Linked DNA regions of Struthio camelus. The protein of the gene in region 2 purifies or fractionates together with the protein of the main gene of each other region. This does not show direct contact. Links are inferred from orthologs where the notes say so. Each region holds a gene or a part of one and is shown on either strand. Other genes may lie near its edges. The genes, in order: CCT3; SOX2; SQSTM1; POU domain, class 5, transcription factor 3.

Evidence for each region.
Region 1: the proteins of SOX2 (region 2) and CCT3 purify together in Homo sapiens (affinity purification with mass spectrometry; 3 studies listed by BioGRID and IntAct, with this or other methods). This does not show direct contact. The link is inferred for Struthio camelus from reciprocal best matches to the Homo sapiens genes SOX2 and CCT3.
Region 3: the proteins of SOX2 (region 2) and SQSTM1 purify together in Homo sapiens (affinity purification with western blotting; 3 studies listed by BioGRID, with this or other methods). This does not show direct contact. The link is inferred for Struthio camelus from reciprocal best matches to the Homo sapiens genes SOX2 and SQSTM1.
Region 4: the proteins of SOX2 (region 2) and POU domain, class 5, transcription factor 3 purify together in Homo sapiens (affinity purification with western blotting; 6 studies listed by BioGRID and IntAct, with this or other methods). This does not show direct contact. The link is inferred for Struthio camelus from reciprocal best matches to the Homo sapiens genes SOX2 and POU5F1.

What each region holds. Positions count from the first base shown.
Region 1 is NC_090971.1:3,933,324-3,940,427, forward strand, and holds the start of CCT3 (T-complex protein 1 subunit gamma), read right to left. Parts: upstream 3,008-7,104; 5' UTR 2,733-3,007; coding exon 2,702-2,732; intron 1,516-2,701; coding exon 1,454-1,515; intron 1,006-1,453; coding exon 955-1,005; intron 859-954; coding exon 796-858; intron 219-795; coding exon 122-218; intron 1-121. UniProt on the Homo sapiens protein: Component of the chaperonin-containing T-complex (TRiC), a molecular chaperone complex that assists the folding of actin, tubulin and other proteins upon ATP hydrolysis.
Region 2 is NC_090950.1:23,949,173-23,956,759, reverse strand, and holds SOX2 (transcription factor SOX-2), read left to right. Parts: upstream 1-4,673; 5' UTR 4,674-5,119; coding exon 5,120-6,067; 3' UTR 6,068-7,081; downstream 7,082-7,587. UniProt on the Homo sapiens protein: Transcription factor that forms a trimeric complex with OCT4 on DNA and controls the expression of a number of genes involved in embryonic development such as YES1, FGF4, UTF1 and ZFP206. Binds to the proximal enhancer region of NANOG.
Region 3 is NC_090954.1:7,033,511-7,041,498, reverse strand, and holds the start of SQSTM1 (sequestosome-1), read right to left. Parts: upstream 3,006-7,988; 5' UTR 2,892-3,005; coding exon 2,714-2,891; intron 2,637-2,713; coding exon 2,541-2,636; intron 1,793-2,540; coding exon 1,563-1,792; intron 1,423-1,562; coding exon 1,266-1,422; intron 794-1,265; coding exon 704-793; intron 193-703; coding exon 1-192. UniProt on the Homo sapiens protein: Molecular adapter required for selective macroautophagy (aggrephagy) by acting as a bridge between polyubiquitinated proteins and autophagosomes.
Region 4 is NC_090961.1:13,637,186-13,644,359, reverse strand, and holds the start of POU domain, class 5, transcription factor 3, read right to left. Parts: upstream 3,016-7,174; coding exon 2,509-3,015; intron 1-2,508. UniProt on the Homo sapiens protein: Transcription factor that binds to the octamer motif (5'-ATTTGCAT-3'). Forms a trimeric complex with SOX2 or SOX15 on DNA and controls the expression of a number of genes involved in embryonic development such as YES1, FGF4, UTF1 and ZFP206.

The DNA.
Region 1 (7,104 bases), on a different chromosome or scaffold from region 2:
TTAATCAGAAGTATCTGATCATGCGAACGCTATCACATACAAGAATTAAGTTAGCCTGAGACAGGGCAAACTTCAGCCTTACCCTTTTTAAAAAAGCACACGTCTTAGTCACTCTTCTTACCAAGGATAATTACAGATGTGGTCCCATCTCCAACTTCTTCATCCTGAGTACGGCTGATCTCAATCATTGACTTTGCAGCTGGGTGCTGGACTTGAATCTGGAGGGGAGGCAAACAGCATGCTTTTGGTCCAAAATATTAAAGCTGAAACGTCTTGTATTACTCAATGGAACAAACACTACTACACCTTTTAAGTGATCAAAGGCATTCTGTCCAATTATGGCAAAGAATCTTCTTCTTTTCCAAGACGGAAAATAAGCCCTCGTGTTCCACAATATTGCATCTCCCAGTTTTCCGGCACTTAGAATTCTATGATGTTATTTGAACAAAGACTTCTTGGTCTAATTATTTGCGTGGTAAAAGGAACCATCTACTCATTCGATTTTGAGGCCTACAAGTGACTATAACTATAATTAACATCAAATTTATACTAATCTTGGAAAACCACCACCACAACTTACTACCCCGGGGCCAAATCTACTTTCCTGAGGAGAAAGAATTAGCTAGAAATATTTCATTCCTCCCCAGTAAGCACTCTTCTTGGTACTGCTGTTTATTACTTTTGGCTTTCAGGACTCAAGGCAAAACAATATAGTTCCACTGGCACCTACTTCACTGCATTCTAGAACATTTTGACTCACTTGTTAAACAAAACAATCCTTTAGGAGAAACTTACTTCTCTAAGAATAGCATTGCCATCATTGGTCATCACGATCCCACCCATAGGGTCCAAAAGCATCTGCAATATAAAGAGAGAAACATTATTTGCAGTGGCCTGCCATACGTGCACTGTTTCTAGTCAATATACAGCACAGAGGATTTCAGCAGTTTTTACCTTCATCATAGCTCTTGGTCCCAAACATGTTCGGATGATGTCAGCAATAGTCTAAGAGGGGAAAAAAAAGAATTAGGCAATGTAAGGAGGCATCAATGTCTAAAACAGCCTCTAGTAAACCATAATCTACATGAAACAGGCAGCCACTGCATTAGAGCTAAGTGACCCAACAATTCTATAGTGGCTTAGATACAGAAGTTGTGGGAACTTCGGGGCGCGGGACTATAGTAGTGTTGGCATCCCCCTAAGCTATTGTCTAAATCAGAAGTCAATATTTGTACATTTTCAGATTTTGCAGAGAAAGAGGTTTTGGTGGGGTGCTGCTGTTTGCTGTGTTAAACCCCTCAGTGTCCAGTTACACTGTTAACACCTGTTGTTTTAACACTGAAAATTCATTTTCTATGCTCCTTCTACTCTAGACTCATACAGCCTAGGAAAAACTCTCCAAATTCAGTTTCTCCTCTTAAATTTAAATGAGACCAGCATAATAATATGGTACCTTAGCAGCAGTGATGTTCCCAGTCTGGACTTTTCTTCCAGACTCGCGTTTCATATTCTGACCTAAAGTACATAAGAAAAAATAAATAGTAACAGCCCAAACATAACTGAAATCTGATCTTACTAGAAATCCAAGATCAAAGTAGTAATACTGACAATGCATCACAGATACCATCCCAGGCACATACACAGGATATATGACCAGTGCTAAATTAAGGGCTTACAAGATAAATGCGACTGCCAGTATGAGAGAGCATACTCACAGAACCATATTAACAAAAAACAGCATTAAAGAATTCCTGGTCATCAGCATAATTCAACTAAGACAAAGTTTGGCACACTCAAAATATGTTCTCTGCCCCCCAACAAAAATCAAACAGCAGTGATTCACTAGAATCTGTAAGATCCCATAAAGCATACAAATTGCTGCACAGGATTTTTCAGCGGTCTGAACAGTTATTGATGCTCATGCACAATAAGTAAAACAGCATTATAAAGTTAAGCCTTATACATCAGTGCCGCGCAGCCTTCAGGACATTAGTGCAAGCAGTCATCACCACACCAGAGCCTCACAACCATATTAGGGGACCAGCTGTCAAAAGGGATCTGCCCCAAAGAATCACCACCCAGATCAGCTCTGGTGCCGCTTTTCCTTAACTACAAGCCCAGAAGGGACAAGCACAGCTTTACTTCAGGAGAGGACGCTTGCGCACGTTGATGAGATTTACCAGACAGAACAAAAGAGAGCAACGCGAAGGGAAGGACGAGAAAGCCAAGCAGAGAGCAGTGCCCACAGGAAGGACTCCCATCAGAGGAAGGCAAGAGCCTCGCAACAGCGTAAGGGGCTCAAACACGGGACAGCGAAAAGCGGAGTGCTGAGACACACACGGGGGAAGGAATTGGGAGAGGGGCGGCCACGGCCGGGGGGGGGGGGGCAAGGCCCCGGCCAGGGCTGAGCAGCAGCTGTGAATAGCAGGACACTGAGACACTTGGGGGGGGGGGGGGGAAGCTCAGGGCGTGCCGGGGCGGGAAGCGGGGGTGCAGGGAAGCCCCCGGAGAAGAGGGAGACCCCCGCCCCGAGCGGGGAACCGGAACCGGCAGCGGCTGTGAGGGAGGGCCCGGCTCTGAGGGGGGAACCCAACATGGCGGCGGGGGTGGGGGGAGAGGTAAGGGGGACCCCCGCTGCCCCCTGCACCCCCCCGGGGGACCCCCCTCCCCCGAGGTCCGGCGCGGCCCCGGCGGGACTCACTGAGGACGAGGACGGGGCGCGGGCCCATCATCCTGGAGGCGGCTGGAGCGCGGCGGCCGGCGCGGAACCTTCTGGAGACAAGCGAGCGCGAGGCGGCCGCGCCGAGAAGTGCCGCTTCACAGTGCCGCGACACCCTACCCCGCCTCCCTCCCGCCACGGCCAATCAGCGCCCGCGTGGCCGGCCCGGCGCCCAATAAGAAGACGGCGCTCCCGCTCCCCCCTCCTTCCCCGCCTCTCTCAGCAAGTTCGGTTGAGAAGCGGAGCCCCTAGAGCGTGTGGCAGCGCCGCGCGGGGCGGGGCCAGGCGGCACTGCGCATGCGTAGGCCGCACGCGCCGAGCTTGCGGAGGGGCGGTGCCGGAGATGACTGCGCATGCGCAAAAGGGCGCGGAGCGCCCCGTTGGAAGGGTCCGCGGGGGAGGCTCTCATTCCGTGCTCCCTGTCGCTCCTGAAAGGTGCCGGAGCAGGACGAAGCGGATCCAAAGAAGAAATCGAAAGGGGCTAGAGGGTCTCTGAGTGTCATATGGGGGAAGTTTAGTCCTCAGCGCCAACCTGACCCCTCCCGTAAACGCTTTGGTCTCGCCCAGCGCGGGGCATCACGGGAGTGGCAGGCTTCCGCGCGGCATGCTGGGAGCGGTAGTTCGGGCCGCCTGAGGCCCGGGGCGAGGGGCTGGGCCGCCGCGCTGAGGGCGCTGCCGGGCGGGACGAAGCTCCCGCCGTCGGGCCTGGGCCGCCGCCCTGGTTCGCCTCAGAGCGGAGACCCTCGGCCTGCGGCTGCGAGGCCTCCCCAGGGCCCTGGTGTATCGTGATTCCCCCCTCGGTTCAGCGCTCCCTGAGCCCGAAGCAGCCGGTTACCTCCCCCTGCTCGTGATCCAGCCCGTCAGCTTGCTCAGTATGTTACTATAGAGGAAGAGGGGCAGAAAAGGAGTCCGTTTGCCTTTTCGCAAAAGCAGCAGCAGCAGCCTGGCTGCATGGAGAGGTTTCCAGCTTTCCCAGTTTATTTTCCTTGACCTGTTTCATTGAGTAACACGGCTCTTTTTTTTTTTTTCTCCCCTCTCTCGTAGTTAGCAGCTCTCTTTCTGCTCATATGGAGCCACCAACGGTTAACCAGGAAGAAAAACACACAGAAAAAGTAGGTTGGATGTGTTATCCTTTGCTGTCCGGCTACTGCTTGAACAAGGTGCTTTGCAGAGAAATTCAAGTCTCCTCTCCGTCAAAAGCCCTAAGCGTTTTAGGCCAAGGACTGGTGTTTTCTCAGTGTTTGTGTGATAGCTGCCCCCATGGAGTTGTGGTCTATGACTGGGCTTCCTGGCACTATAGCAAATCGTACTGATAAATATCTTGCGTAAATTTAAGTCTCGCTGCAGCTCCCCACAATAACAATCTTTCAAGGAGAATGAAATAACGTGTGTGAGGCAAAGCTTCAAAGTATGGTAGGTGGGCGCTTGGTTTCTGGGGTCTATTTCCAGTTGCAGGCTGGGAGCGTAGCCTAAAGGGTGCAGCAGTGGGGTCAGACTGTGGTTTTCTGCAGCTCTAGTTAGCCTTGAGTGAGTCATTTTTCCATTTTATACTTCCCATTCCTCAGTGGAGGAAAGGGCAAAAGCCTGATCCTCCTGTCCTTTCTTTCTCAGCCCCTGACTGCCAGCCACAGGAGTGCTTTGCCCTGCAGGAGCGCATGCGCAACACGCTCCGGATCCAGACTAAGGTTGCTCTGGCCTATCTGACCCTCCCGATTGCAGTAGATCGTGCGGCTGCTGCTGCAAAGCCAGCAATGTAAGAGGGAGGAGCAGGAGGCAGGTCTGCAGGGCACAGCCTCTCTCCCCAAGTGACCCAGCCCCACGCTCTGCCCTCCAGTCACCTCTCCTTTGTATATCCTGCATGGAGGTGCGAGCATGACAGTCCATATTACAGTGGCTGTAACAGGGCTGCCCTTGGAACAGGAAGTACAATTATTATCGATGTTTTCTGTATGATTTTTTTTAAATGGTTCATAGCCTTCCCAAGGGCTGTTCAAAAGGACCTGCACTGAGGTGTTGGAGAGAGGAACCCAGCCTGTGGTTATGCAGCTTCTGTGGTGGACAGCTGACATTGATTTGAGCTTTGTGATGTTTCCCATAGTCTGTGGCTCAGCTAAGCTCTGCCCAGTTTCAGGAGTGCTAACTCCCAGTCTCCTGCTCTATTACTGTCCTGGTTCGTGGGGGAAAGAAGAAAGTGGGTACGTGGAGGTCTGTTGCCAAACGCTGAGCGGGGAACTTTGATAAGAGCAAGAGGAGTATGAGGAGGTACATGGAGCCCGTAGCTGGGAGGTTTCTGGAGAGGTGGATTCATGGGTTGTTTATTTGTGTGTGTGTATGTGTGAGGAGGAACACGTATATGGAGGTGTGGATTTGGGGAAGTTCTTGTGCCTTTGTGGCCTTCCTCCCACCAGAGGTCTGCAGGCAACTGCCTGAGCAGCATGGGAACAAGTGACCTCTCAAGGCTTCCTCCTGGAGATTGAGCCCAGCAGCTTTTGCTTTGGTTACCGGTTTTGCAATGGGGAGGTCAGTACGTTTCCTAATCTGTCGGAAACAGAAGGGCGGAGCGTCTCTGGTGTGAGGCTAGTTAGCGGAGTGGCCCTAATATACGAAGGTACAGTTTTGGGGGCTGTGTGCTGGGAGAGGCAACCCACATAGCTAACCTCACGTTTAAGGAATTTAACCGTGATCCCACTCCCTGCTCTCGTCCTCTTCTCCCTCATCATTTTGCAGAGTCTCTATGCAGTCGTCATTACTGGTGAGCTGGGCACAGCTGCTGGCCAGCCTAGTCTTCAGCATGCTCCTGCTGCTCCTCCTTGAAGTGCTTTTCCGAGCCGTGGTGGTCATCGGGTTCCTGCTCTACCTGCTTGTCGCTAATTGAAGGCAGGAAAGTGGGGAAGGCACCTCATCTCCCCCTTGGGCCCAGAACTCTTCAACGAGGAGATAAGAGAGGAGAAATACACAAACTGCCGGAACAGATGGCGAGAAACGTGAACAGTAGTCAAAGGAAGAGGGGAGGTATGGACTTTTTCTGGCTTCCTATGTTCCATCCTGGCTTGGCAGCTTTGTTTACTTCACTCCCAAAGCACTAACTCCAGCAAACCTGAGCTATAGGTTCAGGTCACTGGTCCTCTCCTAAATAAAGGGCAACCAGGTCCTGGAGAAGTGGCACTGCCTTGCTCCAGGGATCAGGTGTACCTACCAGCCTGTCCTACCAAGCACCAAAATCCCCGTGCACCTCCAGCCGCCTCCCCTGGGGCAGCGGGGCCTGGCACAGGCAGCAGCTCTCCGTTTTCTCCCCCGGGAGGGGTGGTTCTTAGTATTTGTTTGGACTAAAAGCTGGCGTTTTGCAGACGCTTCTGCCAGGTTTCCTTGGGCAAAGCCTCTGCCCCGAAAGGGGACCCAGCGGCGGCGCGCTGTGCGCAGGCGCGGAGTCCGGGGGGGAGGACTACCTTTCCCAGAGTGCTGCGCGGCGCCTTCCGGTCGGCGGGGACTTCCGGCCGCTCTGTGCTGACTCGGCCTTCCGCTGGGTGCCGCGGGGCAGCGACGGTGAGGGGCCTCTGGGGGTCGTGGGGGGGGGGTCCATGGAGGGGGACTGTGGGGCAGGGCGGATCTATGGGGGAAGTTGTGGTGTCTGTGGGGCAGGGCAGGGCCGTGGAGGGAGCCCTGGAGGGGGTCTGTGGGGCAGGGGGGAGCCCTGGAGGGGGTCTGTGGGGCAGGGGAGAGCCCTGGAGGGGGTCTGTGGGGCAGGGGGGAGCCCTGGAGGGGGTCTGTGGGGCAGGGGGGAGCCCTGGAGGGGGTCTGTGGGGCAGGGGAGAGCCCTGGAGGGGGTCTGTGGGGCAGGGGAGAGCCCTGGAGGGGGTCTGTGGGGCAGGGGGGAGCCCTGGAGGGGGTCTGTGGGGCAGGGGAGAGCCCTGGAAGCCCTGGGGGGGGGGGTCTGTGGGGCAGGGCAGAGCCATGGAGGGAGCCCTGGGGGGGGTCTATTGGGCAGTGGAGGGCCATAGAGGGAGTCCTGGGGGGTCTGTGGGGCAAGGGAAGGCGTGGGGAGAGCCCTGGGGGGGGGTCTGTGGGGCAGGAGAGGGCCATGAGGGGAGCCGTGGGGGAGGGGGGTCTCTAGGGATAGGGGAGGTTCATGGGGAGAGTTCTGGGGGCAAGTAGGGGACTCTCTGGAGGAAAGGGAGTGTTAGGAGGGTGGTCTCTGGGGGAAAAGTGGGGTCTGGGGAGGGGTCCTGGGGGAAGGGGGTATGTCAAGGGCGTGAGGGAGTCCTGGAGAGGGTGTCTCTGCAAGAAAGGGGGGCTCTCTGCTGGGTGAGGGAGTGCTGTAGGGATTTCTGTGGGGCAAGGGAGATCTGCTTAGGGGTGAGGGAGTCCTGGGGAGTCAGTGGGGCAGG
Region 2 (7,587 bases):
TTCAACTGTAATTTCACCCTGTTATATTGTGCAGTAATTTCTGAGTTTATCCTCAGCACTGGTGCTTGATTTTCTGTTTTATTTTGGGGGTCATGTAGCAAAAAAAAAAGGGGGGGATGAGGGGGAGGACTTTAGTTATACTCTCCTCTGGGAAGAAAGTCCAGGGAGTGTTATTTTAGATGCATAGAAAAAAAATCGCAGGGAGTTTGAGAAGGCTGTTGGCTATTTATGACGAGTCCTGGAAGAGTGTTTGGACAATCGGCTTCTCCATTTATTGAGAAGCCCTTTGAAAGCGACTTTGAGAGGTGGTGTGTGTGAGCCGGCTTTGCTGCTGTTTATTGTGTACGTTAAACACGTCTGAGGAGGTTTCTCTATTTTTTATTTTTATTTTTTTAATTTTGCCTCTGGTAGCACTGCAGAAAGGTGGACACGGATTTTTTTTTTTAACCTCCCCGCGTTTTTTTTTTTTTTAACGCCATAAAAATCAACAGCTGAGCGCTGGTTCGCGGGCCGGTAGCCGGGAGGGGAGGTGGCAAGCGGGCCGCTCGGAGGGCGCGGAGCTGCCGCTTCCCCCGGGGGCCCGGGGCGGCCCGGCCGCGGCGCGGGGGAGCCGCGGGGCGACGGCCCCGGCCGTGCGCTCGCCGCCCGGCCGCACGTGCGCTCGCCCTTAGGTTTCATTAGGGAGAATTAGGATGAAAGAGGAGCCCGGGGAGGAATGCCGAGCTGCCTCGGCATTCCCCAGCTTTCAAGGGTCCTTAGAGCCCTTGAATGAAATTATTGGGTGAAATTGGGTCTGGCTGGAGCATTTGTTACTCGCCCCCCTCGGTCGTTTGTACATATAATGCCACTTCTGAGAATGACAATCGGGCTACTTGCTGGACAGGCAGGGACAAAAAGCAGATTAAACCGTTTTAAATAATAATAAAAAATATCCAAAATGTAAGCAGAGTGGATTACACTTGCTCCAGCGCCTCGGTTCCCCCCAATTCCCCTAAGAGTCACCCTCGCCCTCGGGCCTCTCGGAGAGGAGGCCCTCGGCGCCGGGGGGGGGGAATCGGGGAGCTGAGACAGCCCCACTGCGGAGCGGGTGCGGAGCAGTGTGCGCAGCACCGCCGCCGCGCTAGATGCGGCCTCTGCCAACTGTTGAAGTTTGCCTGAGCCCGTTTCAGCGCCCCGCGGTCGCTGCCGGGCCCCGACGGACGCTCCCGCGGACGGGCGGTGTTTGCTCGGCTGCGGGAATCCCGCGCTTTCCGCGCCTGGTGGCGGCCGGGGCCGCAGGGCCCTTCCTGCGAGCCACCCGGCCCCGGCCCCTTCGGTGGGTTTATACCCACTCGCCGTGGGTGTTTCTTAGAGCGTTCAAGGGCATTTCTGCCCACCTTTCCCTCTGGATGCTACCGCAGATTCACCAGGTGATATTTGAAATTCCCCAGAGACAGGGGTATGGCTAGCGTGGTGAAACTTCCTTGGCTAACTTTAGCTCCTGTGTGATGAGCTGGTACAGAATTAGAGGGGGAAGAGGAAATTTCTCTGTACATTTTCGTCTTCAGATTTTTTTTTTAATGTAATGAAATTAAAACTTTTGGAGCTCACAGCTGACATTTTGCAGAAAATTGAGTTATCAAGGCAGTAATTATTTCACAGGGAGATAAAACTCTCATAGCCCTAACTGTCAAATAGGGCCCTTTTCAGATTTTAATTACAAAATAAAATTAGTCTGCTCTTCCTCGGAAGGGTTTGTGAGTGGCTAAACAGAGCTTTCCCCAATACTGGTGGTCGTCAAACTCTGCTAATTAGCAATGCTGAGAAATTCCAGTTAACAAGGACATTCTCTAAGTCTCTGCAGGTTCCCTGCCGTTCGCCTTCATTTCCATAAGAAGATTAAGAGTGGAGGGGAACACACTCAAATGCAGATGCAGAAAAGAAGCGTTTTTAACAAGCATCATAATAGTAAGATGCTTGGCTAGTTCTCACCTAATTACTGCAAGTTAAACCTCTATTTGCAGCTAAGGACAAAAAATGGAGCTGCAATCTTCCATCTCCACAAGACTGCTTAATAGTTTGCTTTAGATGGGTTACTGGTAGGTTCAGGAAAAAGAATATGAAAATGGGTATATTCTTTCTGATACAGTTAACACGATAGGTTGTATCCTCAGGGTTTTTAAAGAAAGCAGCGAGTATCAGAACAATAAAAACATAAAATTCAAGTAGCTAGCATTCATCTTCTTTTTCAGAAACTCATAACCTGGAAATAAAAGTGAATGTGCCGTAGAGCCCACCATTGAGAACATTTGCAGACTATTTGTTTAAGCACTTTTCATTTCCATAAATTATACCAAAGGCAAAGATTTTTTAAATCCACCCAGATTAAACCATCCCTCTGCAGGCCTCCCTTTCAACGTGTCTATATTCTTCCAGAGAGTGGTGGTGGTATTGTTATTAATACAGAAAAATGAGGTACCGTTTCCTCCTTTTATTTTATAGTCAGCATCCCAATCTGTCTATACTTCTGTGTGTCTGTGTACACATATGCAGCCAAACACCTATATAAGCAGAGGAAAGGGAGAAAATGTTCTAAAAGAGGTCTCGCCCTTATCTTATTTTCTATAGCGCGTTATTATGTATATATGACAGACAGAGTTTATTGCGTCGATAAGTAAAAGAGTTAATTAAAATAAAGCTGTAAATACTCCCGATAACACAATTGTTGGGTATTTCCACCCCTTATTTGTGTGATAAATACAGTTAAGGAAGGGCTGGGCCGGGCCGGGCCAGGCCCCGGAGCCGCTCCAGCACACGCAGCCCGGCCCGGCCCGGCCCGGCCCGGCCCGCCGCAGCTACCGCGCGAGCGAAAAGAAGACTTGCTTGTGCACCACCAGCCCTCAGTTATCAATTCAGTACGAAAAACAAACACCACTGCCACCCACCCCACCCCCTTTTTTCAAACTTAATTATCCCTGAGATTTTTTTGGAATAACGTTATCAACTGCAGACCCAAGCGTAAACAATAAGAAAGTAAATAGCCGTTGTGCCCTCAGGAGGGTCTGGACAATCAGAACCCGTTTATTTCCTGGATCTCATAATTTCTACCTATTTTTCCATGGTTACCCTGTCACTTATCTAGGGGTTCTATATACATTTTCGAATTAGACACATTAAATCCGATCGGATTTATTTGCATAACCCACAAAAAGATGCATCCGTGCTGCTGGCGTATTCTTATATGTATGTACGTATATAGTGCTATTATTTAGATGGCATGTCATTACCGGCTCCTTCCCCCCCCCTTTCCCTTCCCGCTCTCACGCCGCTTTCCCGCGGCACCTCCCGGCGGGGCGCGGGCGCAGCCAGCAGGGGGCGCCGCCGCGCCGCGCCTGAGCGCCGCGCGGGGCCGCGGACGGGGCCGCGGACGGGGCCGGGGCCGCGGCGCTGCCCCACGGCGCTGCCCCTTCCCCCGCCGGGTTCCGCGGGCTCTGCCGCCTCCGCGGAAAATCACCCTGCCCGCGGATCCCCCGCGGCCTAAAGATGTGAGGGGTGCTCGGATTTGGGGCAAAAAAGCCGGAGCGGGGGTGGGGTGGCGGGGAGGGGAGGGGAAGGCCCGTCGGTGGGGCAGGCGCGGAGCGGGGCCCGCGGCTGCTCGCCGCCGCGCTGGGGCGGGCGCGGGGCCGCGGGCGGCGGGGCCGGCGTGAGGCTCCCCCCTCTCCCGCTCTTCTTCCTCCTTTCCCCTCCTTTCTTTGTCGTCAAGTGCGTTTTAGCAACAAAGATCCCAACAAGAGAGTGGAAGTAAACTTAGCCGCCGCTTTGTTTGGCCCCGTGTAGTGACAACAAGGGAAACAAAACTACCTATTTGTAACGGCCTCGCCGCGGCTCTGCCCCCCCCCCCGCCCGGCCGGCCGCTGCGCCCCGGCGGAGCTGCGCTCGCCACCACGGGCGCGGGGTAACGCTGCGCCGCGGCCCGGCCCGGCCCGGGGCTCCCCGCCGCCGCCAGCCCCGCCGAGGGGTGCCCCCCCCTCCCTTGGCTTCCGTGGGCACGGCGTTTGGGGCACCCCCTCCCCTGCCGCGGCTGCACCGGGCACCTTCCCTCCCCCCCCCCCGGCGTTTCCCGAAGCCGGAGGAGGGAGGGAAGGGCTCGGCGCTGTGTGCCAAGGTTTGAACGGAGCCGGGCTCGGGGCAAGGGAAGCGGGAAGGGCGCAGGTTGTGCCCGGGCTGCCCGGCCGGGGGGCTGCGCTTTTGGGGGTGAGGGGGGATGAGGGGTCAGCGCGGGCGGAGCCGGCCGCGGCGAGCGCTGCACACGCAGGTCGCCGCCGCCCGCGGGCCCAGCGCAGCCGGGCGGCCCCGCCGCGCCGAGGGGCGCCGGCCCAGGGGGGACGGGGGCGGGGGGAAGCCATCGCCGCTCTGCTCCCTCCATGGCTTCCCCCAGCCCCAAGCCAACACCAACTTATAAAAAAAAAATGTAGCAACAATGCTGTTTACCCACTTCCTCCAAAAGGCGTGTGTGACCTGTTGCTGGAAGGGGAGATACAAAGGCTTCCCAGTGGCTGCCTGGGCCGCCTCTGGGCCCGCCCCCCCCCGCCGCGCCGTCCCGGCGGCGCCGAGCCCCCGCCCCGTTTCATGCAAAACCAGGGGTAGAGACTTGTCCTCAGTGGAGGAGCCGCCGCGCGCTGATTGGCCAGGGCGAACACATTTATTCCCTGACAAGCCCCCATCACATGGATGGTTGTCTATTAACTTGTTCAAAAAAGTATCAGGAGTTGTCAAGGCAGAGAGAGAGAGTGTGTGTGTTTGCAAAAGGGGGTAAAGTAGTTTGCTGGCTCTTTAAGACTGAGGTGGAGAGAGAGAGAGAGAGAGAGAGAGAGAGAGAAAGAGGCAGACAGAGAAAAGGGAAAAAGGAGGAAGAAGTTTTTTAAAATCGAGGCTCCGGCAGTAATAATAGCAGTTATTAGCATTATTAATCCATCAGCGAAGAGGAAGATTCTGATCTTGATCCAAGTGTGGTTTTGGGGAGTCCCCCTCCCCCCTTTCCTACCCCTCCCTAGGAAAAAAAAAAAGTCCGGCTTGGGACTTTGCTGCCGCTGCTCCTCGCTTCTCTGCTCAAGGCTGGTTCCAGGCAAAAGTAGTTTGAATGTACAACATGATGGAAACCGAGCTGAAACCTCCCGCCCCCCAGCAAACTTCGGGGGGAGGCACAGGCAACTCCAACTCGGCCGCCAACAACCAGAAGAACAGCCCGGACCGGGTCAAGCGGCCCATGAACGCGTTCATGGTGTGGTCCCGCGGGCAGCGGCGGAAAATGGCCCAGGAGAACCCGAAGATGCACAACTCCGAGATCAGCAAACGGCTCGGGGCCGAGTGGAAACTTTTATCCGAGGCGGAAAAGAGACCCTTCATTGACGAAGCCAAGCGGCTCAGAGCTCTGCACATGAAGGAGCACCCGGATTATAAATACCGACCCCGGAGGAAAACCAAGACCCTCATGAAGAAGGATAAGTACACGTTGCCAGGGGGCTTACTGGCGCCGGGCACCAATACCATGACGACTGGGGTAGGGGTTGGGGCCACCTTGGGAGCTGGGGTGAACCAGCGGATGGACAGTTACGCGCACATGAACGGCTGGACCAACGGAGGCTATGGGATGATGCAAGAGCAGCTCGGCTACCCGCAGCACCCGGGCTTGAACGCGCACAACGCGGCGCAGATGCAGCCCATGCACCGCTACGACGTGAGCGCCCTGCAGTACAACTCCATGACCAGCTCGCAGACCTACATGAACGGCTCGCCCACCTACAGCATGTCCTACTCGCAGCAAGGCACCCCGGGCATGGCCCTGGGCTCCATGGGCTCGGTGGTCAAGACGGAATCCAGCTCCAGTCCCCCCGTAGTCACTTCCTCGTCTCATTCAAGGGCTCCTTGCCAAGCGGGGGACCTCCGGGACATGATCAGCATGTATCTACCAGGTGCTGAAGTACCAGAACCAGCTGCCCCAAGCAGACTTCATATGTCCCAACACTACCAGAGTGCACCTGTTCCTGGCACAGCCATTAATGGCACACTCCCTCTATCGCATATGTAAGACAAAGGGGCCGGGGGTGGGGGAAAGGAAAACTAAACAAAACAAACAAACAAAAAACTTTTATTAGAAATTCTGGACTTTTTTTTTTTTTGGACTATTTTTGTACAGAGAAAACTGGGGGCGGGGAGGGGGGGGAGAAATAAAACCGACGAGGAACTTGTATAGATCTTGGAGGGGAAGCAACTACACAAAACTTTTAAAAAGTTCTAGTGAAAACGGTAGGAACTTTGCAGAAAGTTTGCAAAAGTCTTTACCAATAATATTTAGAGCTAGACTCAAAGAGCGAAGAGGAAAATGTTTTAATATTTGCAGGCAACTTTTGTACAGTATTTATCAAAGTAAACATGGCAATCAGAATGTCCATTGGTAATATAGAGAGGGAAAAAAAACAACTCGAGAATTTGCCAATTATTTTTTAAAAATAGAGTCTACTTGGAGCATTGTGACTTTGGCAGCTGAATTTATAGCAGCTGCGAGAGGAGAGGAAATTATTTTACAGCATTTGGACATTTAAATTGTTTTAGAAATTGTACAAAAGGCAAAAAGGTAGGACGAGTACTTGCGAACCATGGGCTTGGTTTGCTATAAAAGGGCAAACGTTTAGCTTGTACTAAATTTTTTTTTTTTTACTTCTTGTTAAAAAGCAAAAATTGCCATGCAGGTTCACACGCCGTTTGTTAATTTATAATAACTTTTTGTTTCCAGACTTCATCCTGTTCAGAGAAAAGAAAAAGAAAAAAAAACCAACCTGAAATTACTGTGTTTGAAATATTTTCTTATGGTTTGTAATATTTCTGTAAATTTATTGTGATGATATTTTAAGTTCTTTTTTTTCTCATTTTCCGTAGTTGTATTTTAAAGATTCGGCTCTGTATTATTTGAAATCAGTCTGCCGACAGTCCATGTATATATTTGAACTAATACCATCCTTATAACAGGTACATATTCAAGTTAAGTTTTTACTCCATTATGCACAGTTTGAGATAAATAAATTTTTGACATATGGACACTGAAGTTACGCTTGAGTCTTGGATTTATTTTTGTAATGCAAGATTTTTTTTTTTAATAATTCATGCAGTAGAAAGTGGTATCGTTGTGAGCAGCTGAGTATTGTAAATAATACAGCAATATATATATTACACATGCATATATTTTTTATAGCTATATATAAAGTACAGTAGCTTTAAGTAGGTAACTGAAGGTGACTGCTTTGCAGGGACGGGAATGTGGAGTAACACGGTCTGTTCCAGATTCCCTTCCCCTTCGCAAGGAGGGCGCGGAGCGCGATGGGGTGAAAGGACGTTTCGGACTCGCCGTTTGGGACCACTTGTTGCCTCGGCGGGGCCGCGGCCGAGCCGGAGGGCTGCGCGGAGCCGAGCCGCGGCAGGAGGCGGCGGCGGCGCGGTGAGAGGGCCCAGGCGCCCCGTTTACGGGTCTCGAGCATTGATAATTTCTCTCGTTTCCCCCCCGGTGCTTTCTGCCGTGGGGCAGGCAGGAGGCAGTGGCTGGGGGCCGTTCCG
Region 3 (7,988 bases), on a different chromosome or scaffold from region 2:
TGTCTTGTATCTGCTCTGCAACAGCACTCACTTCTGTAGCAGGATCTGTGCTATTCCAGTCTGGTTTGGTCTGACTATTCTGGTCAACAGTACTGCTGCTGGGCTCAGCACTGTTCTTCTCTTGATGGGGAGAAGCAGGAGTCACTTTGCTCCTCTGTCCTCCATGTTCCACATCAATATCAACTTCAATACCTATAAAAGCATTTGAGAGGAAGAGTTTTACAGATTTTTTTCCAAAGCTGAGCCCTGAAAGAGCCTTTGCTAATCCTGGCCTAAACTCGTTAGCATTTCTACAGTTTCCTATGGAACATGCAGGAATTAAGTGAGAAACTTTTGTTTTAAAACAAAGAAGAGTTAACCAGCAGACAGCCTCATCTTCCTCTTGGGACAAGTGCTCCATACATTTAGAGGGTCAAAGCAGAAGTTGTACACATCCATATAAGCAAGGCAAAGCCCTGAGTCATCTCTGACTTCATGATACAGTCAAAACATATCGTCTTTCCTCATTTCCTTCCAAATGGGGACTCCGGAAGGGTATTAAGTGGATGTTTTAAGTCTAGGCGTTTTTAGGACAGGGAATAAGTTAAGGTTTTCAGGCTTGGCAGCATGAGGTATCAGGTATCAGTCACAACAGCTCATTGCTCCTGTTAAAAGGAGCCACACAAAGCCAGTCTCAGGGATGGACAAACCGGAAGTCACTTACCCAGGGGACTCAGAAAAGCTGCAACACTCTCCCCAACATTCTTTAAGAAGGTGACATTGGGGTCCTGAGGCTGGCTGTTAGTAGAAGCTTCTAGAAAAACAGTTTCTGTTAGCACACAGCAGCTCAGTGGGGAGACGGCATTTATAGAGCATATCCCTCAAGAGATCTCCGTATTTGTTTTCTATTGCTTATCTACACTGCACAAGAAAGGCAGTATAGCGACGTGAGCCTTAACAAGGCTCTTGTCATTGGTTTTCTGTTCCAGAGCTAGTTCATTAGCCATGCTGCGAGAGGCACGTCTAGAGCACAGTAGTGATGAGCTTGATTTAACATAGCTCTCCTTGATACGATCTCAAGTAGTATCTCTGTATCCTCCTCTATTGCATGGGCCCAAGCATGCCTTAAGACAATCCTACTCTGCCCTGGAAGGTGCTAATTATTTTAAGCAAATAGTTTCAGTGTTTTTCCACCCAGATTCCACAATTCCACACCATGCTGCAGAAGCCTCATCTACCCCGCCACTTCCACCACCACCTTTGTTTACCAGAGCCTCTCCTCTTACCTTGCTCAGTGGGTGGACTGGAGGCTGCAGCACTGGCTTGGGCTTGTTCAGAGTTTTGACAAGGAGCTGGAGGAACAGGATATCCCCAGCGATGCATCCATGGGAAGGGTGGAACACCATGCCGCATCTTACGGAGCCAACGTCCTCGGGGAAGCCACTGGAAAGAGTAATGTTCATGTGACTGTGTTCATACAAAGATTACGAGCAGCTGAAACTAAAGGAATTGATTTGGTTTAGCAGCTTTCAGGGAAAATCCTTCTGCTATGGAGGGAGATTAGCAAACAGGATTTTGCTCACCTCAAACGGATGTAGCAGTGGACTTTGAAACATCACCATGTTGTGCTCCTTGTGGATGCCCTTACTCTCACAGGTGCTGCACAAGTCATAGTCTGGACAGACAGTGCACTTGAACCTAGCACCCACCACTGGTCCTTCACAGCCATCACAGATCACATTGGGATGCACCATATCACGGGGAGGCTCCTGGCTGCATTGTGCACGATGTTCTCGCTTGCACTCTTTTTTCTCTGTTAAGGAAAGGAGACTGTGTCTAGAACCAGGTTACTATTTAAAGGCTGGGAATCAGGCAGGGGAGAAGGAAACAAACAGCACTTGTTACAGCAGGATTGACTTACTAGGTCAGTTTATTTTTATGCTAGCTGCCAAACACAAGCCGGGGGCACGTAAGAGAACCTGAACCAAGAGTGAAGTGGTTTCACCAAAATACCTGCTCCTTGGTCTGAGCAGGCCTTATCCTTAATAGATTCTCTTTCCATGTTTGCATTTGATTAACAGCGCGCTACTCCGTTTGGCTTCTTGCCCTACCTTCCTGGGCATCGTCCAGACAAAAGGCTTCATAAGAGGGATCTAAGAAATGCCACGAGACATAACAGATGCAAATGGGGACAACAGCGACAGCTTGTTTAACTCCTTAGACTGTGGACAAGGCTCTGGAGGTATCTAAATCAACACAAGGCAGTAGGGGGCAACTAAGCACTGATGAAAGGACTGCAATTTCAGCTTCTTGACATATCACTGTTAACATTAACGAGATCAGTGCCAGTCACGTGTTTCCAGGTAGCCAGCACAACTAAAATGGCCTTTTCTGACCAGCTGAGACTACAGGGCTAGGAGGAAACCGGTAAGTTTGTCCACCTTACCTCAGCAGAGGGGTCTCCTACTTTGTCCTTCGTTCAGCCCCTCCTCCAGAGGCTGCGGGCTACACCGGCCCCCCGGGGACGGGGCGGGTGGCCTGTTCAGGGCCAAAAACGTTACCTTTGATGTAAACGCGGAGAACACCGTCCTGGACATAGGGCAGGGCCAGCTCCAGTTCTTCATCGCTGGAAAAAGCGATCAGGTCCCCGTCTTCATCTAGAGAGAGCGGGACTCGCCGTCAGACCCCTCGGCCGGGTGGCACCAGACGCCCCCCGCCCCCCGGCCCCGCTCACCCTTGTAGTGCATGCGGAAGGCGGGCGGCGGCCCGGCCCGCAGCAGCCCCTGGAAGAGCTCGGCGACGCGGTCGTGGATGGCCTGGTAGCGGGCGGGCGGCGGCAGGGAGAAGCGGCGGATCTCGCGGGCCGCCTCCTCCTTGCCCAGCAGGTAGGCTTTGACCGTCAGAGCCGCCATGGCTGTGGCGCAGCAGGAATTGCCGTCGGCGAGCCGGGCCAGCGAGCGAGCGGGCAGAGCGCAGCGCGGCGGGCGGGGCGGCGCCCACCCGCCCGCCTTTATAGCGCCGGGCCGGGGGGGGGGGCCCCGCAGCTCGCCCCGCCCCTGGCGCCCAGGCTCCGCCCCTAGCGTCTAAGACGTTCTTCAGATTCCTGGCCCCGCTTCCAGGCCCCGCCCCCCCGCTTCCAGGCCCCGCCCCTGTCCCCGCCCCCGGGTTCTAGGCTCGCCCCAGATGCCGGCCCCTCCCCCCAGCGGCAGGCTGTGCCCCGGTTCTAGGCTGGCGCCGGGTTCTGGCTAGCAGGGGAACCCCCGGGAGCCGGGCCCACCCCCAGGGCCAGCCGCCTCCTCCCCGCCGGGGCCGCGCAGCCTCCGGTAGACCCCGGCTGCTGCCGCCGATGCAAAGGGGTCGTTCCCCCCCCCCCCCCGTTAAACCACCTGCAGCCGCAGCAGTCAGCACCTAGCGTCAGGGGCTCGAGTTTGCTCCTGGGCTGCCGGCCCCGAAGCTGCGGTTTCCGCGCCCGGGGCTGGATCCTCGGCCCTCGGAGCACCTCCGGGGAGCGAGGGGGCGCGGGAGATGCAGGAACGCGTCCCCGCGGGGGAACCGTGCTCGCGGCTGCCGGGGTTGAGCAGGTGCCATCGCCGCCCTGCGGCTGCCACCGCCGCGGGGTGGGCTGGGCGCAGAGGGACCCGGCTGGGAGCGCCGCCCTGGAGGGGAACAATAACGTGTCAGCTAACAATCTTTCCTGAATCCTTCTTTTTTTTTGGGAGGAGGGCTAAAAATAAAGATACGAGGATAAACACAACTGACATTAAGGATGCTGTTCTGGGGACTTTCCAAGCCGGTTGGCAGCGGTGGTTTTCTGCGGATCAGATGCAGTCGACAGGCCTCTTAGGCCGCAGGAGAGTCAGCTGGCCGACAGCGCTATCTGCCCCTTCCAAGCGTAACTGAATCAAGAGGGATCAATGACTATTAGGTTCCTAGTTGGTGTTAATTTCCTCTCACCTAAGGGCCTCGCTGCCCTCAGTGTTAGCGACATGTTTCTCAGTCTGAGAGAATACAAATTTAGGAGAAACTGTGTCATGATTTATCGTCTTTTGAAATCAAGAGAAAGTTAAGTTTGCTTTTCCACGATGGGGAGGGAGTTTGTTTCTCGACCTGATACATGGGGAAACAGCTGCCCTTCCACATAGATAAATGTTTGGCAGACGTGTGGCAATTCTGAAGTCGAGGCATTTTCTGGAAAACAGCGTTCAGGGTAGATAAAATTGCCTTTTTTTAACTTCAAAGGCCCGGTTTGCTTCCTAGCTATTTCACGGCCGGTTCTCCAACCAGAAGCGATGAGTTAACGTTTAACCGGGAGAGGAAGTAAGCGACGCTGGGCGGCGAATGATTCAGCACGGTTAGCAGCACTCAGTACTGAGCGGTTTGGGCACGAAGCGAAGGCGCAGGCCTCTCGCCCTCCCTTCCCCCCGGTTGCCGCGCGTGCGTCTTATCTCTGAAAGCGCCGCTGAAGGGTGACGGCCTGACATCACCGTACGCGTCGCACGTTGTTGCACGAAGCCAGCAGAGCGGCGGGCGGGCGCGGGCCGAGCGGCGCCGGGTGCTGCCGGCCCGTCCGAGCCGCCTCCCCAGGCGTCGCCGGGGACCCGCTGCCCCATCCGTCGCCTCCCATCTTTGAGGACCCCCCTGGTTTGGAGCCAGGGACGCGGCTGTCGGGAAATTGTTTCCGTAGGTGCCCAGTTGGCGTCCTGCCCCAGCAGCTCCTGCCGCCGCCGCCCCGGTGCAGACCCTGCTGCACCCTCCGCCGCGATCCCGCAGCGGTTTGTTCCGAAGCTGACGGGTCCTTTCAAGGTGGTCGCGTCTCCGGATTAACGTCGACGCCTGTAATTCTCGAGAGAGTCACCGCGTTAAGCGCGGAAGCCCAAGTTTCGCTCCGGGTGAACTTTAAGCCACTTGGCAAACGTGGAAAGGGCCAAAAGCCAGAGGGAATTTCCCCTCGCGCCTGCTGCGTGCTGAGTCACCCTCGCCTTCCCCTGACATCACGCACTTTTTCAAAACACACGGAAAACAAAGCTTTACCCCCCCCCCCCCGGCCTTGTCCTTAGCTGAGCTCCGGGATCACGGGGCAGCGGTGACTCGCGCCGCCCCCTCCAGCGCGGCGCCGGGGGCCCAGCTGGCCGGGGGGGCCCCGAGAAACGCCGCTGCGTCCCCCCCGCCGCGGCTGGCTGCGGCCCCGGCCCCGCTGCACTCGCCCCCCCGCCCCCCCCCCGGGTTTGGCTTGAGCTCGCCTGAACTCTGCGCGTTTTCTGTGCGTTTCGGGGCAGCTATCCGCGGTGGAACAGCAAAGGAGACGGGGGGGGGGGGGAGGAAAAGCTGTTACAGTTGCAAATTTTGACGTTAGGGAGGAAGGGCTCAATGTTAAAAAATAAGAAATAAACTACTCAATGTTTAAAAAAAAAGAAAACAACTATGACAAAGGAGCAATGATCGTCCCCACAGCTCGTGGTGCTCCCTCTGCACCCGCTCCCTGCTGGGAAGCGTTTAAAAATATCGCGTGGGATTGGTGCTCCGCGGGCGCGATCGCTGCACATCCCCCCCATGTCCCCGCTCCCTGTGGCCTCAGCAAGCTCCCCGGGGGCGCAGGAGGGCGGCCAGCCGCCTCTCCGCTTGCGAGCCTGCTGGCGGCGGCGGCGGCTGCTGCCGCTGCTGCTGCTGGTGCTGCTGCCGCCGCTGCTGCGGCTTCTCCAGCGGAGGCGATTTCTGCCGAAAGCCTCGCTTCAGCGGGGCCCGCGACGCGTCGGGCCTTGGGATCCCCCTTCGGGGCCCTGCGGGCTGCGTGGGGGAACCGAGGGGGCGAGAGGCGGGTGACTCAGCCCCGTGTCCCGTGTCCCGTGATCGCCTCCCTGCCGTGACCGCCCGTCCCAGGCGGGAGGGAGGCGGGCGCGCAGCGGCCGGACCCCCGAGCCCACCTCCCGCCTCCTCTCTCCGGAGCCGGCTGCCCCTCAGCGGCCTCTTACAGCGCGTTTTAGGAACGCGCGTGTGTAGGAGCTGGGCTGAGGCGCGAGGGTCACGACCAGAAAGTTTGCTCTGGAGAACTGGATGCGGAAAAGCTTCTCTCTCAGAAGCGCAGGCAGAAGGGAAGGTCAAGCTGTCCTCCGTTTTTGAGGTTTTTTCCCAAGGTTAGCTCATTCAGTACCTTTTGTCAGTGGTGTCACGCGGAAGTGCGCTCTAAGCACAGAAGAGTCTAGGACTCTTTTTTCCGAAGAGGAATAAGTAGGGGAAAAAACCTCTGTTTAGCAGGCGCGCAGGGCAAACATCGTGGCCGTGCTGTGCTGCGCAGGCAGGAGGGCTCTCGTGTTTCCAAAAGCGAGGGGGAACTTTTCGCAGCCTCCGCTGACTGCTCGAGGTGACTGCTGCTCTGCAAAGGTGACTCGTGGCTTCCGCCCCGAATTAAAGCCGGAGCGTATGAGCAAACCTGATGTAAACACCCTGCAATGAAATCCGGCATCATTTGGAAACGTTTGTAGCGGAGTAAACCAAGTTATCATGCTCTTCAAGCGCAGGGCTGTGTAAAACAAACAGGAAATGAAGTTACTGTGTTTCATGAAAAGGGTAAAACAGCAAGCAGGCTTTGCTTAAATCAGCCCTGGGACGGACCGAGCGTGACCTGATCCCAGATGGGCCAAACTCCAGAGCCGAGCTCTGGGGAGAGCCGGGTTAAATCAGCTATAAAGCCGGGTTACGTTTTGCATCTAGAAGTAATGTATGCTTTCTATTTTTAATTTTTGTTACAGCCTCCAGCCCCGGGGGTTGCTATCAGGCTGCCTTCAGTGGAAGGCCCTGCTTTCTGAAACGGGCTCGGGATTGCCAACGTCAACGGCTCAAAGAGCGTGAGATCAGCTCAAAAAGCACGTTCTCTCTGTTTATTCGCCATCGGGGTTTTATGTCTTTGCAGTTCACATTTTAAACTTGGCACGGCAAAAGCACCCAGAAGGCCTGTCAGAACTTACTTTTTAAACAGAGTAAATGTCAAAACTGAAGCAGAAGGGAGGAACTTTAAGAGTAAATGCGAACTTTGTCGGTCTGAGATAAAAGTTGCAACCGCTGGCAATTTCGCTTAGCCCCACCTTTTTCCAACAGGGCCCAAGGTTTTTGATGTGCAATGGCAGTATAAAGTTCCTCCATTTCTTCAGACCTTTATGAAGACAAAGTGTAAAAGCTGAAATTAGATTAAGCTTTGTCTTAGGAGAACACTGTAATTAATTGTCTTGGAGAAACTATTCAGATTATCCTTTTCTCTTCTGCTGCCGATAAACCCACATCCCAAGTGTCAGGAACATTTTGCGTATCTGAAAATAAACGCCGAGCATCCGATGCACTAAACTGCGTCACGTCGTTTCGCCGAACTCTTGAACGGCAGAGAGATGGCGTGCGCCTTTCCCACCAGCAGCTGTGACCCGTCAGCTACCTCTGGAGGGTTTTTCCATTAATTCCTGTGAACCTATTGCTGGTTCCCGGGTTTAAGTTGTGGATTTAAGGGGAGAAAGAAAGTAGCGCAGTGCTCAGCTTTGGGGGGGTCACAATGACCCTGCGGCGCGTTCCCCAAATCCGGCCCCCGCCAGGCGCCGGGCCCCTCCGGGACCGGCCGCTGGGACGCGGGGCGACTCAGCCACGGCGCCGGGCTCGCTCCTGGCAGGGCTTTAATAAACGTCCCGCGCCGCCCGCCGGGCTCCCTCTGCTGATTCGCTCCAGTGATGCCTAAAAGATGTCGGAGGGCCCCGTCAAGACTGTAAAGGGCCGTTTGTTTCCTAAAGTACAGGCTCGAGGGAGGTAGCTGGGCAGGGGGGGCTCCTGCAGGCAGGTGTTATCGGGGCTTTCCCTCTTACGCGGGTCCTGCTTTTAACCAGCCGTTGCAGCTGGCCAGAGCGGGCGCGAGGCAAGGCGCTGCGCCCCGCCGGGGTGACCGCGGGCGCCTCACCTGCCCAAGAGGAAATCGGGAGCGCCCCGAGGGCCCCCTTCCCGCCGGTGTCGCGGGATGCCCAGCGCTACTCGTCTGC
Region 4 (7,174 bases), on a different chromosome or scaffold from region 2:
GCCATGGGGCCAGGGACAGAAGGTTTTCCCCAAACCCTGAGCAAGGGATTCTGTTGGGCCCTGGATCCCAAAGCACCTCCACCCCACCTTGCTCTGCAGCAAAAACACCTGGAAAACTCCGTCAGGACCTGGCCTGGCTGTGGCTCACCAGGACCATGGCGCGCATGTCCCATCTACTACACCAGCATGGCTGGTGCAAGGGCAGGTGGCGGGGAGCATCCACGGCTCTCCCTCTGCCCCTAGACGTGCCAGGGAGCTTCCGCCCCCGGATTCAGACCCTTGCTGCCTGCCCTGGGGCAGCACAAACACAGCCTGAAGCGCGTTCGCTGATGTCCCTGGCATTTCCCCTCCATCACACATCCTGTGACCCATACCATGGTGCTCAGCTACCCAGGGACATGGACACCCATCTCCCATGGCCCTCCGGCACAGAGAGAGGGGCACGCACCAGCTCTGCAGCCTGCTGAGGCCCAGAGCAGGCAAAATGACTCAGATAAAGAAAATGAGGAAAGCGCAGATGATCTGAATGGGTTTTTAACAGATCTTTGCAACGACCAGGCTCTACACTTCTGGAAAGCTGCTTACCTAAGTGCTTCATTTCCTCTCTGCATTACAATCTGGAACCACTGCAGTGGACATTTTGCAACCATTTAACAAGTTTTCACACTCGTAGCAGAATTTCAGATTTTACAGAAGTGCCTCCTGCCCACAAGTCTCACCTTTTAACTGTTCGCAGACATCACCCACAACAAGCCTGAGCGCATCCCTGCCACAGGGCACTCCCGACCCTTTCTCAACTGACAACAAGAATTTCATCTAACCCCCATCCGGCACTGCAGAGCCACGCACGGGTCAGGACAGCCCAGGCGTTTGGCCACACCGCGTGCACCCACCAGTGCTCACAATTTGAACTCCGTGGGTCTGAGCGCTTCTACTCCCTTAGGCACCAACACAGCAGCAAGCCTGCATGAAAACAACAAACCAACCCGCAGTAGAAAAAACTTGCAAAAACTTTCTAAAAAAACCAAAACAAAACACATCACCATTTGCTGTTAACCCTGGAGTAATTTTGCCTGGGAGCACTGGTTTTCTATTATGTCAAGAAGGGAGTTTAAAAACAAAAAACGAACACACAACTTCTGCCAGTCGTGCTGCTAAATCGTGCTGCCTGCCCCTTGCTGGAGCTGCTGAGCAAGCGGGCTGCAGGTGCTGGGGCTTTCCGTGCCCCTAGGCTCAGGTAACTACAAGCTCCCAGTGGAGCCCTTCAATAAGCACAAGTTTGCGTTTTCCCACCGCACTCTGGGAGGATGCCAGCGAGACCCCCCAGCAGAAAGGGTTTGGAGAAACAGCTGTGGTCTTTTCATAGCTACACAGGTTGGAGACGACTGTTACAGATCAGGTGCAGCGAGACATACCCCATAGCCATGATCTGTTCTGGTGTTCCTGTGATTCTCATCTGAGCAGAGTTTTTTAGTACAAAGTAACATGCTCAAGGAGCATTCGACCCAACTCAAAACTGCCCTCAAACCTCAGCAGCGGGTCCCAGTCACCCACAGAGGTTGGGAGATTGCAGTGACGGAGGCAGCAGAGGGAAAGTCAGACCCTGGGTACTCCCCTTCTTCCGCAGCATCAGTAGCATCATGATGCAGGAGGGATCACAGCACGTCTGAGTCGGATGCTGAGGGCATCCGGAGGTTGCCCCGCACAAGGATAGCTTAAGGGATTTCTGCAACGATTCCCAGCCTCTCACGCCCTGGTGTCTGCACAGCCAGCGAGGGACCGGAGACCCTCCCGGCAGGCAGCTGGATCCAAGTCCCCACTGCTTTTTTATGTGCTGAGCAGAATACCCTCTGCTGGCAGGTTTATTCTCCCCTTGTCCCCCTGCGAGGTTAGACGTTCCCCCGCCTCGGCCACCTAGGAGCTCTGTTTTGAAATGTCTAGAGGGAGGAAAAAAAAGTAAAGTGCAAAGCTGCATTTGGGCAGGAGCTGACAGCAAAGTGAGCAGCAGTCGCCCAGGGGCAGGGGGCTGGGGGACAAGCACCGCGGTCACCCCCAGCAGCGCCCGGAGCTGCTCGGCCTCTCCCCGAGCAGGGTGAAGGCTGAAGCGCCCCTTTCAACTGGGGGGGGGGGGTCCGCAGCTCACCCGTTTGCTCCGTTTCTCTGTGAGAGGTGCCCCCCGCCCCGAGCCCCGCTCCGCCCGGCGGCAGCGGGCCCGGCCCCGACGGTCGCCGCCTCGGCTCCCCCGGCAGAGCCGAGCTGAGCGCCGCCTCGACGGGCTCCTCGGCAGCCTCCGCGGCCCTGCCCCGGCCCGGGCGTCAGGCAGCGCCCGCCGGCACCTGCCCCGGCCAGGGCAGCCGCCCCGGGGCAGGCCCGAGCCGGGACGGGGCGCCCGGCGGCCGGCAGCGCAGCGCAGGCCTCGGGGCGCCGTCGCGGGAGGCCCGGCAGGGCGGAGCCGGGGCGCGGAGCGGCGCAAGCCCGCTGCCGGGGCCGGCGTCGCGGGTCTCTCACCTCGTCGCCGCTGTCGCTGGACTGTCCACCCTCGCTGGCGGCGCCGCTGGAGCTGCCGCTGCTGCCCAGGCTGGAGAGGCCGCCCGAGCCCTGCTGGAGGGCGGCGGGGCAGAGGCCGTGGCCGGCGGGGAAGGCGGCGGCGGCGGCGGCGGCGGCGAAGGGCGGGCCGGGCAGGGCGGCGGCGGGGGCCGCGGGGCCGCCCCACGGCGGGGCCGCCCAGGCGGGGCCGCAGCAGGGCGCGGCGGGCGGCGCGGCGCGGCCGTCGGGGGAGCCCTGGCGGCAGGGCCGGCCCGGGCGCGCCTCCGCCTTGGCCGCTGGCCCCGCGGCCGGGGGCAGCCAGGCGCGGGGCGCGGCTGCGGCGTCGCGGCCGCCGTCGGGCTCGGCCGCGAAAGGGAAGAAGAGCTGCTGGGCGGCCGCGCCGTCGTAGCCGCTGCGGGCGAAAGGCGGGCCGCCGTCGGGCAGCAGGCCGAAGGGGGCGGCCGGCAGCCCCCCGTCCGGGCTGAACATGGTGCCCGCGGCCCTAGGGCTCCATGCGGCGCTGCGGCAAGGCCCCGCCGCGGCGCTCAGGCCGGGCGCAGCTCGCCCGACGGTGCCTCCATGCTGCGGCGCCGCCGGGGCCACTGAGGGCGGCGGGGCCGGGTCGGGCCGGGCCGGACCGTATGGAAATGGGCCCCGGCCCCATTGGCCCCAGCGGCGCGGCCGCACCGGTGGGTCGGGCATGAACTTGATCCCCTTTTTCTGGTGGGGGGAGGATGAGGAGGGGGCGCCGCCGGCCCGGCCGCAGGGGTGTCTGTCCGGAGGGGAAATAAAACAGAGCGGCTATGTGATTTATGGCCCTCTGGGACTCTTCCCGTTGGGGCCATGGAAAGGAGAAGGCTGGATCCCCCCCGAGTGGGGCGATAAACCCGGCCATGCTGTGGGGCACCCATATGCTATGCCTCGAATACCCCGTTTGTGCAGCAAACAGCAACCTGGCAGGGCCATGACTCCCTGTCCCCCCGCGCACAGCTTATGGGGTGCTTGGGGATGGGGGAATCCAACGTCTCCATCCCTCTGTAGGCAATGCTCCCCTCTTAGCATCTCCTGACCTTGGGAACTCCCTGCTGTAGGGTCTCGTGGTGGGCAGGAAAATAGCAATCAGGTTGGGGGGGGGGACATACTTTGCAGATCGGTGATAGTCGCAGTGGCCTGAGCTAAGCTGGAAGGTGCCCGCTGGGGTGGGCGCCTTGCCTAGGGCTGCAGGCCGGCCCTCATCAGCAAGACTGAGGACGAGCCCCAGGGATGAGCAGCCACCAGGATGCTGCTGGGGTGCACTGGGGGTGCCTTACAAGCGCTGGCCAATCCCTTCTCGCCTGTCTACAGTCCGAGCAGTGCAGGCCTGCTGCTCCGTGGGATGCCTTGCTGAGTGCTTCAGAGACCATGGCCAGGAGAGAAGCTGGGCACCCCTGGCTTCCTTGCGCTCCCACTGTTGCTCCCCTCTTCCTCACCCTGCAGAGGAAGGGTTGCACCTGGGAGGGCAGGCATCTGCTTTGCTTTGCAGAGCTGCGGCCTTTCACTGCATGAGGCCCCGGAGCGCTGGGTGTGCCGCTCTGGGGCCTAATCACGGCCCTCGCTATCACGCAGATCGGCTCCACAATGGGACAGGCATGATATTTTTCGCTATCTTAGGGGCTTTCCTTTCACACTGCGGCTTCACAATGGAGCTATCAGACCTGGGCTCAAGGCATTTCCCCCCTTCCCTCCCATCTCCCATCCATGGTGGCTTTCCGCGGAGCCCACGGAGGTGGCACGGCCCTGACGCTGCCACCCCATCGGCCTCGGCGGAGGAGCCAGGGCACAGGGAGGCACGGGCAAGGCAGGTACCTGGTGACCCCCGGCAAGATGTGGGGCAGCCCCCCATCTCCAGGGATGGGGCCCCTGTGGAGCAGGCCCGCTGCCAGCACCTTTCCCTGTTTATTAACCCGGATTACTGCGAGCTGTTGTTTAGCCTTCTGCAGTCTCACACTCGGGAGATATGCCAAAGAGATAGGCTTGAAGAGTGCCCCCACCCCTTGGCTTTGTGTTTTGGATAGTGCTTCTGGCAGGGCCTGAAAGGAAGGCGTTTTGTCACTGATTTATGAAACAATTGCTCTGGGTGGTGGCTGCTGAGCTAGGAGCTGGGGCCGGCTCCCGGGAGGGCTGCTCTCCCCCAGGCTGAGCACCCTTCGTTTCGGTGGCCCTTGCTGCCCTTTGGGGGACGTGGGTGCGTGCACGTGTTTAAGGGATGCAGAGAACAGCCCCCCACCCCGTTGTAATGAATTTTATAAAAGAGAGGAAAAAAGGGGGGGGGGGAACAAGAGGGTGAGCTGTATTTAAAGCTCCTTCCCGACTCGTGGATGGTCTCGCTGGGGGTTTGCGGCGTCGCCTGTCCTGGCTGGCTGTGTGGCGGGTGCCTGTCACCCTTCAGTGCACCCCGCTGCTGTAGAAAAGGGAGGGCAGCCCTTAGAAAAATGCCCTCGGGAAGACTTGAAGGCTGCAAAAAAGCACTCGGTGGGGAGGAAGGCAACCCCGGAGTGCCTCAGGGGAGAGCAGACCCCGCTGCAAGCCGGGGCTGCGGAGGGCAGAGCGGTGAATCCCGCAGCTGCGGCCAGGCGCCTTCCCACTTCCCGCAGCACGGCCGTCACGGCGGCAGGCGCTGGCTTGGGCTGTGCCGTTTTCCGGCCGCTAAGGAGCGAGCCGCTCCTCCGGCCGGGGCTGAAGGCCGCCGCCGGCAGCGGGGGCCAAGGGGGCGAGCAGGAGCGGGCCCGGCCCCGGCCCCTCTCCGGAGGATGCCGCCCGGAGCCCGCGGGCAGAGGAAGTGTCGCCGCAGGACTCCAATGGGCAGCGATCAACCTCTGCTCCTGCCGGGCTCCAGCTGGGGCTGCGACGTTTTTAGAAGACCCTTCAGCTCGGCAGTAACTCCCCCTTTCCCTTTGATTTATTGTTCCTGGCCTGGGCCCCCTCCTCCTTCCCCGACCTGCTCTTTCTCTCCATCCCCCCAGGAAGCGGGGCCGAGCCATCGCGCCCTCAAACACATTCCAGCTCCCTTTCATATACAGGCGGAGGCGAAGGGGAGACGTTGACTTTGAACTGCCTCTTTGTAGGAGCCCGGCCCATTGTGGGCAGTGATGTTTTTCGCTGGGGGATGTGGAGCAAGTCAGTGGGGTTTCTCTCCGTCCCCCCCATCCATTTCAATAGGGCGAGCTCTGGGGCTGCGCGAGGTGCAGGGCTCCTGGTGTGCCCCATGGCCGGCGCTCGGCAGCTCCTCACCTCCTTCCAGGGGAGATGCTCCTAGAGTTTGCATGCTCCGGAGGAGGAAGGCCGTTGCCTCCCAGCGTGTCCTGGCAGGCAGGCCGTCCCCATACCCACAGCCTTATCCTGCAGCACTGTAGTGCTTTGTGGCAGGCTGAGCACTGTGATCTGTAACCAAGCCAGATGTCAGTGGGATCCTGCTCAGAAAATGGGAGCAGAGAGAAATGTCCGTGTCCTACCAACCTTGGTGAGATGATAGCAAGCTGGGGGCACTGAGGTGCGCATGTATCTGTCTCTCCCGTCTGCTGCATTATGCTGGCTTGATGCTGGTTTGGCTTGGCTTGGTGACAGAAGATACTGCGAGAACGTGTGGCCAAAGATGATGTTTTATTCACTGTCAAACCACCCTCTCTCCTGTGGCAGGTGAGATAAAAGGACTCTGCTGGATGCACCTGAATTTAATGCATAATATACTGGAGTCAGAGCAATGTGGTGGGCTGCATCCCTGCACACGGTGGGCATGGGGCCAAAGTGGTCAGCAGCAACGTGAAGGGCCCAGCTAGGTCCATGTTTGAAAAGCTTCGCTCCAGGCCCATCTGACAAGGGTCAGACCGGTGGCTTCCGCCCCCAAAGTCCCATCTAGGGCAGCAAAACTGAAACTCCTCCATGGCAATCCAGTTTGCTAGGCTGCAGCTGGACGGGCCTGCCAGGGCTGGACAGACAGACCTGTGCAGCTGCAGGTAGGTGAGGGAAAGTCTCCTTTGCACCCCGGCCATGGATCCTGACCTGGCAAATCCTGCTTCACCAGCCTTGCCCATGAGTGTGGGACAAGACCACTCAGCTGTGATGGTGTCATCCTTGGGAGCAGAGCTGGGCGCTGCCCGCTGGCCCTCCTGGTGTGCCCTTGCCTAATGATAGCATTAGGTGAGAACAGCCCCCTTCACTTCCCTGCCCCCCCCACCACATCTTGCTCCCCTGGGTCCTGGCCAAAGGACTGCTCCTTCCTTCAGCTGAGCAGGGCACTCAGCTCTGCCTCCGCCCCCCCAGGCTCTGGGCTTGCACCACAGCTGGGGACCTCCCTCTGCTCCGCTCTCCTGGCTCCGTGTAGCTGTTTTGTTTGGCAAGGATTAAGCAAGGGGCTTAGCTGGGAAGATGCCACTTGCTGATGCTGGGAAGACGAAAGGACTGCTTGTAGCATATGAGCCCAGGCTGAGCTGAAAGCCGTGGAGGATGGTTTGGTCCAGATCTGCATCCTCATTAAACTGGCCTGTGCAGCCCAGCCCAGCAGTAGGCAGCCTGGGTTGTAATTTGGGCATCACCCACATCGCTGCAAGCTTGAACCACCAGCCCTTCTGCTCTGCAGTTATTGGGGGGGGAGGGGGACTGCACACAGGTA